Drosophila melanogaster: one gene and its partners. Changing the gene in region 2 together with the main gene of any one other region gives a genetic interaction. Each region holds a gene or a part of one and is shown on either strand. Other genes may lie near its edges. The genes, in order: slbo, trbl and Wee1.

Region 1 (5,314 bases), on a different chromosome or scaffold from region 2:
TAATTTGAAGTGTTTTTTTTTTAAATTTATTTTAAAAAATTTATGCTTTCAAGTTTTTATAAATAGGTAACTTTAGGTAAGCCTTGGACGATTCCAGTTAGCAGGAGGATAAGCAAATAAATAAATGACTTTGCTTTGCTTTAATCCCATTTAACCAGTAGTTTCTCCATAAACAATCTGATAAGATAAGGTGCACATGGATCGATCTTGCCTCATTTAAATTGCAGATTTCATCACCTTTCCCATCGATCGATATGGAATCAGTTCTTGGGTAACCAGACCGCACAATGCAATCCCCCAAGAACAATAAGGGTGCGTTGAATGCGTTTTGAAATACACCCGACCAGAAGAATATCTTTGTGGACGCACAAGGAAGCACTTTTGCACAATCTCGATGCAGTCATCGATATCGGCGATATTTCCGATTCGCTGCAATAGCTTGACTGATAAGCGAAGAAAAGTGGCTGTCCTGTCATCGACAGCGGAATACCCTCTTATCGTGCAACGGCGCACGGGGCGTATGATTAATAAAGTCCGGGTAAACAAAAGGTACATACACGAAGGCAGAAGACGGGGGCGAGAGGCGGGGCCGAAAGCAGGGGACGCACCTTCGGAAAGTAAACGACAACTTGACCCAAATTGCAGACTCGAAAACTCAGGAGAGTCAGCAGAGTGAGCAGAGTTAGCGGAGTGAGCACCAAGCAGAAGAGCGCCAATGGGGGAAAAGTGGAGAAGGCGACTTCACAAATCGCTGCATTTAAATAAACAAAACTACGAGCCGTGCTAATTTTTATGAATTTCATAACACAGTCTTAATTTTAATAAGACGTCGCTGCCTATTACGTGAAAGCTCCGCGATGCGTTGCGCTTCCACTGCGCAGTCACGCATGCGCGCCAAAAACAGGCCCCAATCCCCAAGCCCCCAATCCCCCGATCCACCAAGTAACTGCACTTCTGTGTTTTTTTTTGCTTTTCTGTATTTCTAAGGCGCAAAGCGAGTCGAAGCCCAAACACAAATCGGAGTGGGCAAGGCCCCAAAATGGGGGTCGGGGGTTACGCAGCGGAGTGCCGGTGTGTGCGGGCGTGGTGTTGTTGCTTCTCGCTGCGGCTGTGCGGCTCTTCTCCCAAAAAAAGCAAAAGCGACGGAACCGAAAATGAAAATGAAAACGAAAGCGAGAGCCAAGGAATAATGAGCGCTGGCTGCGCTGCCGACGTCGCGCGCTGCTGGTGTCTGTGCTCGCTTGAGCTTGTGTGGGTGCCTTGGGGCTCCCTTTTGTGTGACGTCACGCGATCGTGCGTTGCATTGAGTTTTATCATGAAATTCACTGCATCAGCGCATAACTAATACTGGATTCTAGGATGGGGTCTTAATTAAACAATTAATATCTAAACTAATATCTAAACTAACTTATGTGGAACATGTATAAATGTAATAAATTCTATATAAAAAATGTAATTATCCTATCAAATATGATATTAAGTTCCGGAAACTGAAGAAGTATCTCCCAGCTTCGTACCAAATGCACTTTGCTTGCATTCGTGCTTTTGGCCCGCACAGCAACCACAAGAATGGCCCAGTGAATTGCCTTGCGACGAGAGTAAAAGTGATTGGGAAAACTCTTGCTTTTTTACCTGATCGCGGCTCTCGCTCTCATCCACAGGTAGTTGCCTTTGCCTTTGCCTGGCTTACTTGTGCTTTGCCTGCTCTTGCTTTGCTTTTGCTCTGCTCGTGCTGTGCTGTGCTGCTGCCGCCTTTGCTTTGCTGTAACGGCGACGGCGACGGCAACGCTTGGGGCTTCGGTGTGGAGCGGTACGAGTGAATGTGTGTGTGTGTGTGTGTTACATGCGCTGGCCGCTCATTTTCTTTTTCTTCGGCTGCGTCGCTGCGCCAAAGACTTTTTCACTTTGCCGCGTTCGCGTTCGCGTTTTGTCACAGTTACAATTTACCACTCGTCGGCGACGGACGCGCGCTCTCCGCTGGCCAAGAAAATCCAAATCGAAGAAAAGCTCGCTCAGCTAACGGTTCTTCAGGAGCGTTTCTAACACCAGCACACGTACGTGTACGAGTACGAGAGTACTAGCCAACGGCAGTCGTCAGGCCGTCTCGTATAAAATCTGTTGCATCACTGCCGCGGCACTTCAGTCGTTCGAACGCGTGCGGCCGGAGAAGTGCAGTGTCGAGTTAACAAAGTAAACAAACTGAATAAAACATTTTGCGCTAAGAATCGGAAACATAATAAGCAATAGTACGATGCTCGGCTGCAGTGACCACCCAGGCAGCCTAAGATGAAGCATACGGAATAGCGAGCTATCCGAGTCGAACATTTCCAAAGACCCACTTCTTACCTCAGTGCAATGCTTTAGGCGCCAAACGAGCAAAAGTTTATTCCCAAATCTGAACTCTAAAAACAGCCAAAATTAACGCTCTACAAGGAATCAAGATTCTACCCTCCTTCGCGCAACTGAAAATGCTGAACATGGAGTCGCCGCAGATGTACGCCGATGCCGTTCAGACATTGGCCCAGCTGGACCTCAAGAAGGAGCCTCCCCTGCAGCAGGCCACCATTGGCCAGATCACACTGACGGCCATGTCCACGGCGCAGCAGCAGCAGCAACAACAGCAGCAGCAACAGCAGCAGCAACAGCAGCAGCAACAACAGCAGCAGCAGCAACCCCAGCAGCAGACTACCGATGCGAACAACAACACGTCGCAGGACGCGGCACTCCTGGTCAAGCAGCACGCCATGCACCAGATGCAACAGGTCGCCGCATTGGGCAGCAACAACAACCTGCTGCAGAAGCAGATGCTGCAGCAGTACTCCACTCAGACGGACCTGGACGAGCTGACCACCCAGGAGATCACGCTCGACCTGCAGCACCTGATAGACGACCAGTTCAGGGACACGGAAACGCTGGGCATCTTCAGCGACATGGTGACCAGTCCGGGCGGACTCTCGGCCACCCTGCCGCCGAGCGGAATGGTCTCGGCGGCGGCGAAGGTCCTGCAGCAGCAGACCCTGCGGAACCAGCACGGCTACGGGGGCAGGGGAGGCGGTGGCGGAGCAGGAGGCGCCCTGGCCTACATGCCGCAGCCCGTGCACGCCACCTACAACAATTCCAGCGACGAGAACAGCTCCGTGGGCTCCGACTCCAGCACGATCAAGGAGGAGCCCATCGACCCCGAGTACAGGCGGCACCTGCAGGAGGCGGCTAGCCAGCAGGCCGCCTTCATGGGCAATGGAGCAGGCCTGTACAACGGCTACGGATCGGGGGCGAATGGCTTGACCGGGGGCGGAAACCCACTCAACGGAGGCAACACCACGCCCAGCAGCAACGGGAGCAACGGCAGCACGGGCAGCAGCAACGGCAGCCAGTTCACCAACCTGACGACGGCCAACGTCCTGGCGCACCACAACCTGCCCCACCTGGCGGCCGCAGCAGGAGCACACAATCTGCTCAAGCAGCACAGCAAGCTGCACGCGCAGCAGCAGCATCAGCAGCACCAGCAACAGCAGCAGCACCGCAAGCACAGCAACAAGCATGTGGACAAGGGCACGGATGAGTACCGCAGGCGGCGGGAGCGGAACAACATAGCGGTGCGCAAGAGCCGGGAGAAGGCTAAGGTGCGCTCCCGCGAGGTGGAGGAGCGCGTGAAGAGCCTGCTCAAGGAGAAGGACGCCCTCATTCGGCAGCTTGGTGAGATGACCAACGAGCTGCAGCTACACAAGCAGATCTACATGCAGCTAATGAACCACGCCAATCCCGAAGTGAGCCGCGTCTGCCGCAGCTTCCTCAACACCAACGAACACTCGCTGTAGCCGCTGCCAGCTAAAGCCAGTGTCCTGCGAGTTCTGTGTGTGCGTGAGTGCTTGAATGCTTGAGTGCTCGTGTGTGTGTGTGTATGAGTGTGTGAGTGCTCCAGCCGTAAGTGTGTGCGTGTGAGCGAGACTCTGCTAAATCAAAGATACAAATGCTGTGTGGGTAGCTCGTAAGGTTCATTCTCCTCCTGCTCCTCATTGTCCTCTCTGGCCGTAGACGATGGAGCGGTCGCGCCAAGTTGGTGGGCCGCTGCATCGCTTGGAGACCAAACTCTTCTGCCGATCGCTGTGGCATTCCTTGTACATTTACTCTGTCCCCATTTCTTGTTATCACTGTAAAGCATATTTTTGTACTTAATTCTAATTCTTAACGACTGTAACATATATATTTCGCACGTTTTTATACATAATCTTATACATTATATCTATCATAAAGTTAAGCCAAAGAAAAATGTTAAAAATATTAATGTAAAAAAGAATAACACGCAGGAACGAAGAACGAAAATACAAACTTCAAAACCTATTAACTATTTATACATCTAATTCAAATGTGTACAGTTCTCGACGGTGTGCGGCTTCGCTCTATGCTTGATGCCACGCCCACTCCCACGCCCAGCCCTGCTTGACACACAACATTAGCAAATCTCTAGTTCGTAAGTCGGAGAATCAAGCATCGCTTTACCTGCACAATCCCCAGAGGAAAGCCTCCCGAAATCAACCAACTTGTAGCGAATTCCACGGGTTCGCTTCCGAGAGCGTAGAAGATATGAATGCTATTAATTGTAAGGCAAACGCAATGTTCTCATTTTAATTTATATATTCGTAAATTAAATATACACAAACAAAGAAAACTGTAAAGCAAATCTAAACAAATTAAATAAAATTTACCTTATACAAAGAATCGGCTTGTCGTGCGTTTTGACTAAAACCCAAATGAATTTCAGATAACTTCTTAATTTCCACAGTTCAACTACCAATCTGCAATTAGCCCTAGCCACAATTTGATGCAAAAGCCCTGCCAAAAAGTGTCTAATTAAATGTCGGCCATACTTGGGCGACAAAACGATACGCTGGGCGAAGACCAGAAAGAGACGCACCACCACCGCATTGGGAGGGCAGGGTCTTTCTTCTGTCCGCCGTCTTCTGTCTTCGCTGTCTTCGCTGTCTTCCGATGGGACAAATACGACAAGGCAATGCATTTCGGGCTGCCAGGCGCGACACTGGGCCAATTGCAGGGAGGAAGGAGGGCGAAGTGGAGGACCCCAGACAATCGCAAGGCGGCCGTGTTGACACAATTTGACAGTAAGACAAACCCGAAACGAAAAGCAAATTTATAAACGACAAAGCGAAAAAGAATTAATGCAACTCGAGAAACCGACAAATTAACGCGCCAGAGAAAGCCCAAACAAAAGCCACAGAGCCACGGAGCCAGAGAGCCAAAAAACGCATGCCGACCTGGGGCAGATAATCACTTACAGACATTTGGGCTCGGGCTA
Region 2 (7,829 bases):
TCACAATATTAGTTTACTGCTATTGTGGAGCAAAGTCGCAAATATTTCCGTAGCCAAAGTCACGTTCGCCCACCTGATAACTTCCAGTCACTGGGTTGCATTATCAGGTTGGGAATCTGCTGCTCGGTAATGGGAATCTCAGCAACAACAATAACTAATTTGTTGACTTTCGACACTCGAGAGAATTCTCGATTTTGTGACGTGAACTATTCATTAATCTCCTTCATGAAGAAAATAGATTGGACAGTTTTGTTTTCATATTTTTGACCAAACATTATCTGATCTTAATCAAATGTTGAATTTTACTAGTACACAATATGACGCATCTAGAACCAAAAAATCGTATTTTCCCCTGACTCATTGTTTTCATCTTTTGTAGCCTTCCGCTTCTTGAGAATCTAGAATCTTCATGTTAAGCTCATAGTCTGGTTGACTAATTACACATTTATAAATATTTACAATCTTGTGTCAATAAATAAAAACAGCGTTTTTTACCCCAGAGCCCTAAAGAAACAAATTCGAATTATTCTTGGTGAGATCAAATTTCAATGTATTATGTTCTTTTTTGCAATTTTCACTTACAAGATTTTAAGAGTACACAAAGCGTAATACAGAAGTATTAAATAATAAATAACAATTTGCATTCGTTGCATTTTTTAACATGGAAACTAATGTGTTTTAAAGCCCAAAAGCAAATCAGGGCGACTGTCCTTTGATAAGATCAACAGTTTGCAAAAAAATTAAAATGTTAAATGTATTGTACATAGGTAGGTTTTAGGAAGAATCGGTTGCAGAGAGGAGGCTGCGGAGCGGCGTGATTCTTGAACGAATCGAATCGGGGCTGCAGCGCGATTGGAAGGCAGTGAGTTCTTGTGTGTCTAAGCTTTAAGTCTTTGTTGGCAGTACCACCTGCAGGAAGACGACGTGGAACGCAGTCGGAGTCGGCGCGACCCGGAAGGCCAGGATGTCCACAGTGTCATATCATCCGATATGCCCAGTCCCGGCGGCTAATCAGTCGGCATTCAGCCGGATGCAGCCAACGCGCCAGCGTGTCCCAGAATGCAACCCGTGGGTGACTCCACGAGCTCCAATCAGCCCATGTCCACATCCGTATCGGGTTCGGGTTCCGTGGACAGCCCATTGGCATTCTGAGCCATTTGGAGCGTGGAGCGCGTGTAGTCCAATGGCTCCACGCCAATGTCCTCGTACTCGTGCTTGTCACCCAAGGGACAGAGTCCTTCCTCGTCATCATCCATCGCATCGGCGGCAGTGCCTTCGTCCTCCTCCGCATCGCTCCAGTCCTCGGCCACCTCCACGTCGACTGGCAGGTACATGTGGAAGGGGCGCTGCTCTCGCAGCCACGGGGTAAGGAAGATGTGGCTGGCGGTCATTCGTTCCGTGTAATCCTTCCGCAGCAGCGAAAGCAACAGCCATCGCACCGACTTAGACAGCGTCAGGGGTATCTGGACATTCCCGTGGCGTATGACGGTGATGAGGTTGCAGTTGGCCTTCTCGTAGAACGGGTACTGACCCACCAACATGGTGTACAGGATCACGCCCAGCGACCACATGTCCGCCGGTTTGCCCTTGTACGTTTGCTGGGGGCACAGCAGTTCTGGAGCGGTGTACAGTGGGCAACCGATCTTGTCGCTCAGAGTATCGTCCTCGCCGTCGAGGATCATTGAGCCTTCCAGTGATTCATACTGCAGTTTCGTTCTGTAATTAGCAAATGACAAAATCGAATAAATAATCCGCCAAAATAGGGTACAAAATATATGTTTATGCTTCTTAGAAATAAAACTAACAGTCTTTTTTTTACCCGTTTCTATTAATATGTTGAGAACTATTGTTGCCAAAGAAGAGTAGATATGACTGCAACTTGAGTTGGCACTGCCACTATTCTGATCGCAACTGTACCCGTTCATCAGACCCATCGTCGAGCTCTACATCATGTGCAATCCCTGGGACTTGCATAACCCCCGATTTTGTGGGGCCATTAGCTAGCGCAATATCGAAGAGACTTGAATCGATCGGCCACGGAGCTTCAGTTTCAGTTGTAGTTGTCTTTGGCGTTGGCGTATTGACAAGTCAAAAGGCAAATTGGCCGAGAGAGCACATTGTGAGCTGAGCTGAGTTGACTTGGATTGGTGACGAAAGCGCAGCTTGCGACCCCCGACACCCATGAGCGAGTGCCGCCGCCGCCGCCGCCTCCGCCCCTGCACTCCACTCCACTCCCCCTCCATTGGGCCACTCCACTCCATTGACATTGGCCCACATTCGAATGCAAAAAGCAAAAAAGTAACGAAAACGCCAGCGAGCACAGCGCATAGATCCAAAGAGAGTCCGCTGTGTGAGCTGCGTGAGTAGTAAGGTGAGGTGGAGTGACGTATCGCAACTTGTTGCTGCAACGGCGCTTCTGCTGGGACCCGAGCACCACTACCAACATTGGGTATTCCGCCGATAGCGAACGGAGCGATATACAAACACACGGTCGCCGCGGTCTGGTATCCAAACATCCAAAGAGCCAAACACAAAGCAGGCCAAAAAAACCTCGAGCTGACCCTGAACAAAAACAAGCTTTGAAAACGCGCCTCTCCTCGGCACAAATCACAGTGTACACTGAAAGAAACAAATTACCTTCAACTTGATAGCAACAGGTGGGCAATCAATAAGAGGGAAAAGAGATAGCGCATTTAAATAATATATTCAAAGAACACGGTTCTTAATTAAGAGCATGTTTCTATACATTTGTTTTCGGGTTTCATTTGATTTTTGTGTCCTCTATCGTCTAGTTACCCCATTCGATACAGAAACATTATAAACTTATATTTAAGATCAAGGCAAGCATATATAATTATACTTTTAAGATCAAGGTTTTATGTGAACCAATATTTATATTTTTGAGTGCACGGAAGGCAGGTGGAGATGTGATGAGGAGAATAGTTACAGCTGCTGACCTCGATGCGCGACATAACCGAGCTTTGAAGAGCGTCTTGTGGATCTCTTCTTTCCCTCTCTCTCTCTCTCTCGCTCTATACGTTTGGCACACATTAACCCGCGACAGAGGTTAAAATAAAATCGGAATCGAAACGAAATACGGAAAACCGGCGCCGCATAAATGCTCAAACACCTTGGAAGTATTTACGTACGGCAAAAGAGTAGACAAAATAAAAGTATGAACCAGAGATTTTTACATGCATAAGCATACGCATTTGTATATGGGAGGCACTGGCATATATGCATGTACATAAATGCGTTCAAATACAGAAGATCAGAGTCAGGGACATTCACCGCACTGTGACCTTAAAAATTCGGCTCGTTATTTGGTTGTGCGTGTGTGTGGCCGCCCCGTTGGACATATGTAGATATGGATATGGCCACGCCCATAGCCCATATAGTATGTATGTACACCCAGCGAGCACTTATCTATATAGCGATGTATTATTCGAATGGAAATGGGAATGGAAGTGAGCGCCAGTAATCGCAGCGCATTTGAGTCGTATTGAACACTTGTTGTTTATTTCTCGCCAAGGTGAGAGAAGTATAGTATAGATAGAGATCTATGGGTTGGTTTCTTCCTTCCGCCGTTTTGCACTTGGCACAGAACGACGAAATGACGAAAAAATCAGCAGATATTGCGCTAATTGCAGAGTCATACGAAATCGACCAAATGTTCAAGTCGTTCCATGCTGATGTCAGTACAATTTCGAAGATAATAAGAACGGGAGACAGCGCGTTTTCGATACAGTTGTGTTAATTAACATATGCGAAAATACATTTTCGATGAAGGTGGGGTCAATATTTCATCATCCACTGTAAACTCACACACGGGAAATCGACAAATCAAGCGAACGCCGAGTACGTGGCCCACAGATCCCCACCCCAAAACCATATTGCAAATGCTATGTTGAACAATTCTTGAAATGTGGCAATTTCTAGCTTCCGAAATGTGTAATGAAAAAACGAGTGAGCCAACATTTTGGCCATCAGTGTGGCACATTGGGCCCTTGTGTACGAGTATGTACACAGAGATACAGTCGGGGTCTGCAAAATAAGGCATATGCTTGCTCACTGAATGGCAATTCAATGATATTACATAAATAATAATTCTTTAGCTACAAAGCTAATACACCATGTTAATTAATAGTTTAATAATAGGTGTATTTCAAAAACTTATCTTTGAAATTATTTAACATTTTTGATCTTATTCCCATTCATTTTTGCAATGCTTCGCATAGTAGGAATATATTTTTACTTATAAAATTAGTTTGAAACTACCATTATACCCTGTGCTGTACATACGTACGCCTTGCGTTCATTCGGTTTGTCAGTATAATTGTTGTTGTTGGCCTATTGGTGATTCGATTGCAACACTTGTTAAATGTTCAATGTTACCCACAACGACGGCGCCAGCAACAAAAACAAAAGCAACAACAGCAGCAGCAGCAGCAACTACAACAACATGGGCCAATAACAAGAGCAACAATTGTGGCACCACCAACACACGACCACAAACAAGATCTCTCGCTCATAACGAGTTTCCATCGAATTGCAAAATAAACCGACTAGCCAGCCATATGCAATTGAGTTGGTATAAGTCAGGCATATGTGGCGTATATTGGTGTATATGGGTTTTTCGAAGGTGTCACCTGGACACGCAACTCACCTGGCCTCGTCGATGAAGTAGAACCGCTTGAGCTTGAGGTCCCTGAGGATAATCCCGTTGCGGTGGCACACCTGAACAGTCTGACAGATCTGGTGGAATATGGCCCTCGCCTCCGTCTCGCACAGTCGCTTCGCGTGGCGGATGTAGGTGTGCAGGTTCTCGTACACCCCGGTCACCCCACCCGTGGAGTCCCTCTCCTGGGGCACGGGCGCAATGAGGATGTAGGTGCGATCCTTGGTAAGCGGTATGATATCGTGCACGGGTCGGATCAGTGGATGGCCATAGATGGTGCTCCGGCGTAGCTCCTCGTCGTGCTGCTGCAGCTGAAAGTAGGCTCGTTGCACCTTATGCAACGGTTCGTTTACAATACGGCAGAGGAACTGCTCCCCGGTGAAGATGTCCACGCAGCGCAGATTGGAGGCGGTTAGATCGACCAAGTGGCGATACGAGGCGGGAGTCTTGGCAGCCACGGCGGCCGATATGTGACTAGGCTGTGCGCTGATCAGATAACGCTGTTGGATGAGCTTGACGGGCTGCTGGTCTGTGGGTTCCGCTGCGATGCCCAGGGCCAGAAGGTCACAGGCTCCGCCGGGCGTCATTAGCTTCTCCCTGATGGTCTGCAGCATCTTGGCATTGGGGAACTCCTTTTTGGGCGTAAATAATCCCAGTACGGTGTCCTCCTGGCTGCTACTCATGCCGCTGCTGCTGGATGATGAGGATGAGGAGGTGGCGGCTGCGACTCCTGGCGAGACTGGTGACGAATAGTTGACTATTTTGCTTGTGGACGCTGACGAAGCCGTTCTGCTGTTTTGACCGCTACTGTTATCCATGCTTGCTTGTGTTTACCACTTCACTTAACTTTATCACAGTTCTTGCTCTCGCTACGTTTTCTTCGTCTTATTCTCTGCTAATGCTTCTTCTTACTAATTTTGTTACTCCGCTTTAGCCTGGCTGTACTTGGCTGTTAATTGTTTTGACATTTAGCGACGCGCCGTTTAGTCTCCGATTAAATTCGATTTAAACTCTCGTTTAAACTCAGGGCTACTACTACTTCGGTAGTTTGGCCATTTGCAATGCGGGTACTGACGAAATGCGGCGATTTTAAAACAAATCGGACGCTGCTCACTGAACTCGCGAAACGAAACGAACGCGACCGTCTTCTCCGCAGTTTGAATTTCAAATGTGACCATCCACGCGGTCGGAAGAAGCACGAAGCGAAGAGAACGGCGAAATACAACGGCTCTCTTTCGCACCCTCTTGCTCGCTCTCACTGCACCGATCCTTCTCTGCCTCGCTCACACCCGTTGCAGGAATTTAGCTCAATGCGGTCGGAATGGAAAGAGAAGTGGGAGACCAGAGAGCGTCGTTATTTTTTGAAATCCAAATGGTTGGGAGAGAGAGAAAGAACAAGAGCATCGTTATTTTTGAAAAAATTGCGCTGAACGCTGAAATTCCGATTCCAACTGAATTCGAAATACGTAGCTGTATGAACACTATACCCACAGCAACCCTTAAACTTTTCTTCTACGATTTTACGTAGTAATCTGCGCACCAATAAATCGTGGCGATAAGTTAATTAGAGGGGGTTAGTAAACTGATAAAATCCACAGTTTTAAGATCAAATTAATGAAAGTACAGTCAGCTTGAACTTCGATTTTGTTTTATTGAGTACGGGTACGGATATCGAAGGCAGAAACACCCGTATAACCATCTCTATAACTCGAAAATATCTTTTGTGGTTTCTTGGCTTGGATACTTAAGGTTTTCTCCTGCTCTGATAAGGTAATATTTTACAAGTTTGGTTGAAATTATTTGTTTTCCCATAGTTACGAAATTTTTAAACCAAATTCAATGATGATGTGCAGTTTTTGAGTAGTTGCTTTGCAAACTACTATTATTATAAAAAAACATAAAACATAAAACATTTTAATATCCTAATATACATACAAATTTAAAATTAAGAAATTTGTCTTCTTAATACTCCAGATTAAGATCTCTTATATCCCTAAGTATATGACCACAGATGGACATTTCAGATGTACAAACATAGTTCTAGTAAATCCTAGAATTTAAATAAATGCTCCCAAACTCGAATCTTCAAATAACGCTTCAATCTCTTGGATCCAAATCGATCATTGAATTTTTTCCTGTGCGAGATCATTACTCATTTGTGTGTGTGTATGTGGATTTACCTTGCTGTTTACCTCGCGGTGCAGACGATTTCATGATTTTTGCAGCTGTCCGAAACGAGGATCACTGGGCTACGCAGGAATTACGACAGCAACAGAAGGCAGTTATCCGAGATCCTCAAGGAGCAGGTAAGAACCACCGAGCGGCATTATGTCGCAGGTAGATTCCTACATACATATGTCAGCTGCACTATTCCACCCCTAAGCACTATATGGCAGATATAGTGCATCGGTGCAGGGCTGTACATGCGATGCAGTTGCAGTTGCAGCTGGCGCAAGGTGATTTCCCACTAAAGACATCCGTCTGAGGATACACAGGAGCACATTCGCGGTCACAATAATAGGAACTATCGCAATCGAATCTTTAGTAATTGGAAATGAGGGTCTTTAAATATAATTTTTAAGACCGAATTGTTGGACTAAAAGACCTGAAAAATGTATTTTTAAAATCGTTGATAGAATTGGTACAATTGTAGGTTAGATATAACTCATTTAGTTTTGAATTTTTTCATTCTGGGATACTGGGATTTTGAATACTAATATTTTCACCGCAACTGTTTATGCAGGCTTGTATTTCGTCCATTGGTTTTCACCGATCTCTTCGATTGAATTCTTCATATTGTAACGCTCTTTTTGAAACGCAACGTCCGTCTTTGCTTCTTCTTCCCACGAAGTAGCCGATAAATACGAATGCGAAAATCGCGAACAGAACAAATAACACCAACAAACCTCTCTTTTCGCCCGTCCCTTTTCCAAAGTCTTGCATCTGTTTCTCGAAAGGAAGATTGAAACGAGAATTATACTGGTACCGTGACACCAATGCAACCGAAAAGGGGGGAAATTATAGGGGTGGCGACATCAAATTGAATTTGAAAAATATTTTATTTGCATACGACATACTTATTTGCAAGCAATTAATGTTTCACTCTGGTCACTGCACTCACTTATACGATTAAATAGGCCTGATCATTTTG
Region 3 (5,369 bases), on a different chromosome or scaffold from region 2:
CAAAAAGAAGGGTCACAAGAAGCACCACGGACACTACAAGAAGGGTCACCACGACGAGGACCACAAGAAGTACAAGAAGGAGCACAAGTACGGCGACAGCTTCGAGGAGAAGAAGGAGCACGGCGAGAAGGGCTCCAAGAAGCACGGCCACAAGCACTACAAAAAGAAGGGCGGCAAGCATTGAGCAAGCTATATTATACATGTGATCTTTATGTGAAATGCAGAATTAAAACTGGGAGAGGTTCTAGAATATTATACTGTCTTGTGTTTTATTCAATAAGCTGTTAAAACTTAATCTGCTAAAAGCTAGTTTTGATACTTACAATGTTTCAAATAATATAGCACACTATAATATATTTAAATGTATTAGTATATTAGTATATACATATATAAGGTAGCTTAAATTGTTACGTTTTTTGAAAAGCCTGATAGCTAATCACGACGATTTATCCCATTTCATTTCCAGAAGCAACTCATTCAGCAGATCTCGGAGCACATCGCGACGCAGGCGCACTCGCTCCAAGTCCGGAACTCGATCCCGCAGTCGCTCCGCCGGCTCGGTGGGCCGTCGCTCCGGCCGCTCGAACGGACGGGACGAGAACGGATCGGCGTCGAGGTACAGCGACCACGAGCGCAACGGCAGTGGAGCGGTAGATTCACCGCCGCCGCCAAAACGGCGCTATGAGGATGAGGACGATGACCGGGTTAGGGGATCGCCGCGGTCGCGTTCCCGATCTCGATCGGCGTCGCCAGCGGTGCGCCGTGGATCGCCGCCCAGGCGTCGTGGTGACTCGTCCGCCTCACGATCCGTTTCAAGGGACTAGCGACAGCGAACGGATGCAGACGGAGCCCGACATGCGATGATGAGGGCCGGAGCTGCAACCCCCCGATGAATCCGGCGAGATGGGCTCTCCACGCACTGGACTCTAATCCTCATTCCCAAAAGAAACAACCTCACGTGTAACAAGACAGATTCCCAAATACTTTTTCATGCAGTATCCATCTAAGGTTTTTAGTTGTCCAAAACCATATTAGTTAAGGGTTTTAATTTATAGTGGAACTCGAGTTTGCATATTTAGGTATTCTAATGTTCCAACACAACAACAAATACAAGCACACGCAGAACAAAGGAGAGCGCTTCGGAAAATCATTTGACGGAAGGAAATTTAAGATATAGAAATGTATCGGCAGCCGCAGATTAACGATCTAGTCAGGATTGCTATGTAAATTGATTTGCCTTGGATTTTATTTTGCTTACCCTGGAATTATACTCGAATGTGCAGAGGACGAAGCATCGCCACCATTTTCATGTCAATTTTACACAATTTTCAATTTATGCAACACAACAACTTGATTATTTGACTCCAATCTCTGTATGATGTGTTTCTATATTCGTAATAATTAAGTATTGCAACAGTGCATAATAATTATTCATACATTGATGTCATAGTTAAGTATTAAAAAAATACATATGTATGGATTCTTGAGATGTGTGTTTGAATTATGTAGCAAATGCGCTGAACACTAAAATACAGATATTCAATCAATAAATTAAATGCCAAAATTAGTTGTTTTCCATTTGAATTTGGCGGGCTTTATGCGGTCTTGAACAAGTCTGGTCACTCAGTTTAGAAGTAGGTGCGCATTATTTAAATTGGTATTTTTGCCAGATGTTTAGTATTTTGTTTGTTTGGTAACTCTGCACTTCCAGTTACTTAGTATTTTTTCAGTCAGAGCTGGTATTTTATTGCGCATCGGGTACGGCCACATTATTAGACTAGCATTCCTCCAGTTAAATTTTGTTTTGTGTTTTGTTTTGCATTTTTTTTAACTATTGCCTTTACTTTACTGCCGCCGGCTTCCATACAAATAGTTCTGAAATCAGAAATAACGAACAGAATCGTCTTTCAACGTGGTCAGCTGGACAGCTACAGCAACAATGGCATTCCGCCAGTCGGAGCACGAGATGAGCGTCACCTCACTCGATTCAAGCGTCGAACTGAGATCGCGTTCGCCATCGCCGCAGGTCTTCAATCCGCGCAAGCTCCGCTTCGCCGATGATGACTTTGACAAGGACACGCCCGAGGGAGCGAGTCCGCAGCATCCCCTTCAGCAGCGGCCGAAGCTATCCTCCGGTGAGGAGCAGCAGCTGGACAGTAAGATAGGCAAAGAAGGCGGCGACGGGGACGTGTCCATGTCGCCGCCATGCCAAAAGGTGCGGGCCCTGCGACTCTTTAGCACACCGGCCACTCCAAAGACCATCCTGCAGAAGTCGACGACGCAGTGCAGCAACCATCTGTCGGCGGCAGCAGCGGCAGTGAATGCCTCCAGGCGCAGCGACGACCTCTTCCGCCTGTCAGAGCGCCCGCGATCTCTGCCACTGCACAACCGCAAACTGCCCACCCAGGACACGGCAAATGTGAACCCCTTCACGCCAGATAGTAAGTTTAAAACGTTTCTCGCTTTTGATATTTTAATTAAATAAAGGTATCAATTTCCAGTTCGTTGCTTTAATTTGCACTCCACTTTAACCCATCCCAGCTTAGTCTTATTAGCAATCTAATAATCATTTTTTTTATTTTTAGGCCTCATGGCTCACAATAAGAAGCGCTGTCGCACGCAATTCGGACGCGAAAACCTCAACCTGAACGTGAATGCTATGCAAAAGTATTTGCTCAGTGATGCCTGCGACGACGATGTGACGGAGGAGGCGGGCGACTCGATGCGCGAAATCCACCAGCAGGCACCCAAGCGGCTGGCCCTGCACGACACGAACATCAGTCGCTTCAAGCGGGAGTTCATGCAAGTCAACGTAATCGGCGTTGGCGAGTTCGGTGTGGTGTTCCAATGCGTCAATCGACTAGATGGCTGCATATATGCGATTAAAAAGAGTAAGAAGCCGGTGGCAGGCAGTTCTTTCGAGTGAGTATTCATTAGTTATTGCAACGAGCGTCGTTTAACAATCTATTTGCTTGCAGAAAGAGAGCCCTGAACGAGGTCTGGGCCCATGCTGTATTGGGCAAGCACGATAACGTGGTTAGATACTATTCCGCGTGGGCGGAGGACGATCATATGCTGATACAGAATGAATTCTGCGATGGTGGCAGCTTGCACGCGCGCATCCAAGATCATTGTTTGGGTGAGGCAGAGCTAAAGATTGTTCTCATGCATGTGATAGAGGGCCTACGCTATATTCATTCAAATGACCTGGTGCACATGGATCTGAAGCCCGAAAACATATTCTCCACCATGAATCCCAATGCACACAAGCTGGTGGAGGTGCAGCCGCAGCAGACCAAAGATGACGATGGCATGGACAGCGTCTATGAAGAACTGCGCCATTCAGAGAATCTGGTTACGTACAAGATCGGCGACCTGGGACACGTGACCTCCGTTAAGGAACCCTACGTCGAGGAGGGAGACTGTCGTTACCTGCCCAAGGAGATCCTTCACGAGGATTATTCGAATCTCTTCAAGGCCGACATATTTTCCCTGGGCATCACGCTGTTCGAGGCGGCCGGCGGTGGTCCGCTGCCTAAAAATGGACCCGAATGGCACAACTTGCGAGATGGCAAGGTGCCGATTCTGCCGAGCCTGAGCAGGGATTTTAACGAGCTCATAGCCCAGATGATGCATCCTTATCCCGACAAGAGGCCCACTTCGCAGTCTATATTCAGTCATCCGTAAGTAAATTGAGTCGACAGTATAAGCGACAATCATATTTAGTTGCATTTAAGATAAATGTGCTCACACTAAATACATATAATGTTCGTTTAATTTGCAGAATTCTGAGTGCTGTTGACTCCAAGAGCAAGCTGCAGCTCGGCCTGGAGCTGACCGTGGAGAAGCGCAAGAACGAGATACTGATGAACAAGCTGAGAGAGGCCAAAAAACAGATTAAACTGCTCGAGCAACGAGGTAAGATAAGATAAATAGTTGTATAACAACTTAAACTTTAAGGTGGTTGGTTATCTGGATGTTTACAATTTCTAACGTTTCTGCAACTCATTTTAGTCAATCTTCTTGCGGTGACTAACAATCCGGACAGTCTGGATGGACAGCGTTGCCTTCGCAGCTTCACGCGACGCATGCGCACGCCATTCTCCAGCCATGGCAAGTTCGACAGCATATCCGATCGCAACAAGAACGTTATCACCAATATCTGATAAGCTCGCAACAGATGCCGAACCGATAGCTAAACTCTTCCGAATCGAACGTGAACTAAGCTCACATTGTGTTACCTTTTAAGCGTATTCATATAATCGATACATATTTCTAACTATTCGCTTTCGTTTAAGCTCATGGATTTTGAAGCATTCGTAAATATAATCTATATATTTTTCAAGCTCAGTGAACTTTTCCCTGTTAAGAAAGCACAATCGTTTTAAGAAAAGCCCCTTGTAAACTTTAAGATTCTCGCATAGTTGTAATGAGTATTGTTTTCGAAATTAAAATATTTATTATGTTACATGGAAATCGAAATAATAACATTCCATTCGTTAAATATAGCGAATGCTATTCCATAAAAACTACTGGATTTATTATGACTCCGGATTTAAAACAAAATGTTTGCGAAGTTTTTCTTAAATTCAATTGTTTACTCCACTAGAAATTGTTTTGATATTATCCAATTTCCTGTCAAATTATGTTCCATTTTCCTTATCTGAAAATAACAATCGTCTCATTTTTTTGTATTATCCAGCTAGTTTGCTTTTTTTACGCAATCAATGGAAAGAGAAATGATCATTATTGTAATTTGACTTATTTTCTTTGAGGCACTAAGACTAGATGTTGGCTGTAAGCTGCTTTGATAGAAATGCAATGGGTATTTCATTTAAAGAACAAACTCAGAACTTGGCATGAGTTTGTTTGGAAATCCTTAATCAGTATATTTTCTTCATTAAAAAATAATGTAAATTAATATGGATTACACTTTTGTTATGCGCTACATATTATATTGTTTGTATGATACACCTAAAACCGTCTATAATTCTGATTCTGTTGCCTGCTGCCGCCTTGTTGCTGGTAGTTGTTGTTCCTTGGACCATTATAGTTGTTAAAGTTGCGCTGCTGCTGATTCGAATTGTCCTGGTTGAATCTCTGATTGTGGCCATATTGCTGCTGCTGTCGGTTATTGTAGTTGTTTTGATAGCCGCCACCCTGGTGCTGATTGTAGTTATTGTTGTAGTTGTAGTTATAGTTTCGGCTATTGTTCTGATAGCTCTGTCCTTGGTTTCCGCCTATTCCCTGGCCGTAGCCGCCTCCTTGCCCGTAGCCTCCTCCTCCACCTCCATTGCCACCGCCACCCTGTTGGTTCCTTATGCCAGCGTTCAGCATGCGGTGACCACTATCCGGAACGTAGGCCCTGG

What was found.
Region 1: of trbl (region 2) and slbo, changing one suppresses a phenotype caused by changing the other (phenotypic suppression), as found in Drosophila melanogaster (2 studies listed by BioGRID).
Region 3: of trbl (region 2) and Wee1, changing one enhances a phenotype caused by changing the other (phenotypic enhancement), as found in Drosophila melanogaster (one study listed by BioGRID).

What each region holds. Positions count from the first base shown.
Region 1 is NT_033778.4:24,330,925-24,336,238, reverse strand, and holds slbo (slow border cells), read left to right. Parts: upstream 1-1,931; 5' UTR 1,932-2,468; coding exon 2,469-3,818; 3' UTR 3,819-4,717; downstream 4,718-5,314. UniProt on the Drosophila melanogaster protein: Required for the expression of gene products mediating border cell migration. Among the DNA sequences that this protein binds with high affinity is a conserved site within the promoter of its gene.
Region 2 is NT_037436.4:20,395,760-20,403,588, forward strand, and holds trbl (tribbles), read right to left. Parts: upstream 5,851-7,829; 5' UTR 5,497-5,850; coding exon 4,667-5,496; intron 1,717-4,666; coding exon 1,092-1,716; 3' UTR 529-1,091; downstream 1-528. UniProt on the Drosophila melanogaster protein: Adapter protein that negatively regulates different signaling pathways to coordinate cell differentiation, proliferation, migration and growth.
Region 3 is NT_033779.5:6,910,498-6,915,866, reverse strand, and holds Wee1 (Wee1 kinase), read left to right. Parts: upstream 1-1,728; 5' UTR 1,729-1,939; coding exon 1,940-2,441; intron 2,442-2,585; coding exon 2,586-2,922; intron 2,923-2,978; coding exon 2,979-3,683; intron 3,684-3,784; coding exon 3,785-3,918; intron 3,919-4,014; coding exon 4,015-4,166; 3' UTR 4,167-4,777; downstream 4,778-5,369. Other genes in the region: CG32829 (uncharacterized protein), read left to right, coding at 1-184; x16 splicing factor, read left to right, coding at 467-824; Rat1 5'-3' exoribonuclease, read right to left, coding at 4,975-5,369. UniProt on the Drosophila melanogaster protein: Acts as a negative regulator of entry into mitosis (G2 to M transition). This kinase specifically phosphorylates and inactivates cyclin B1-complexed CDC2.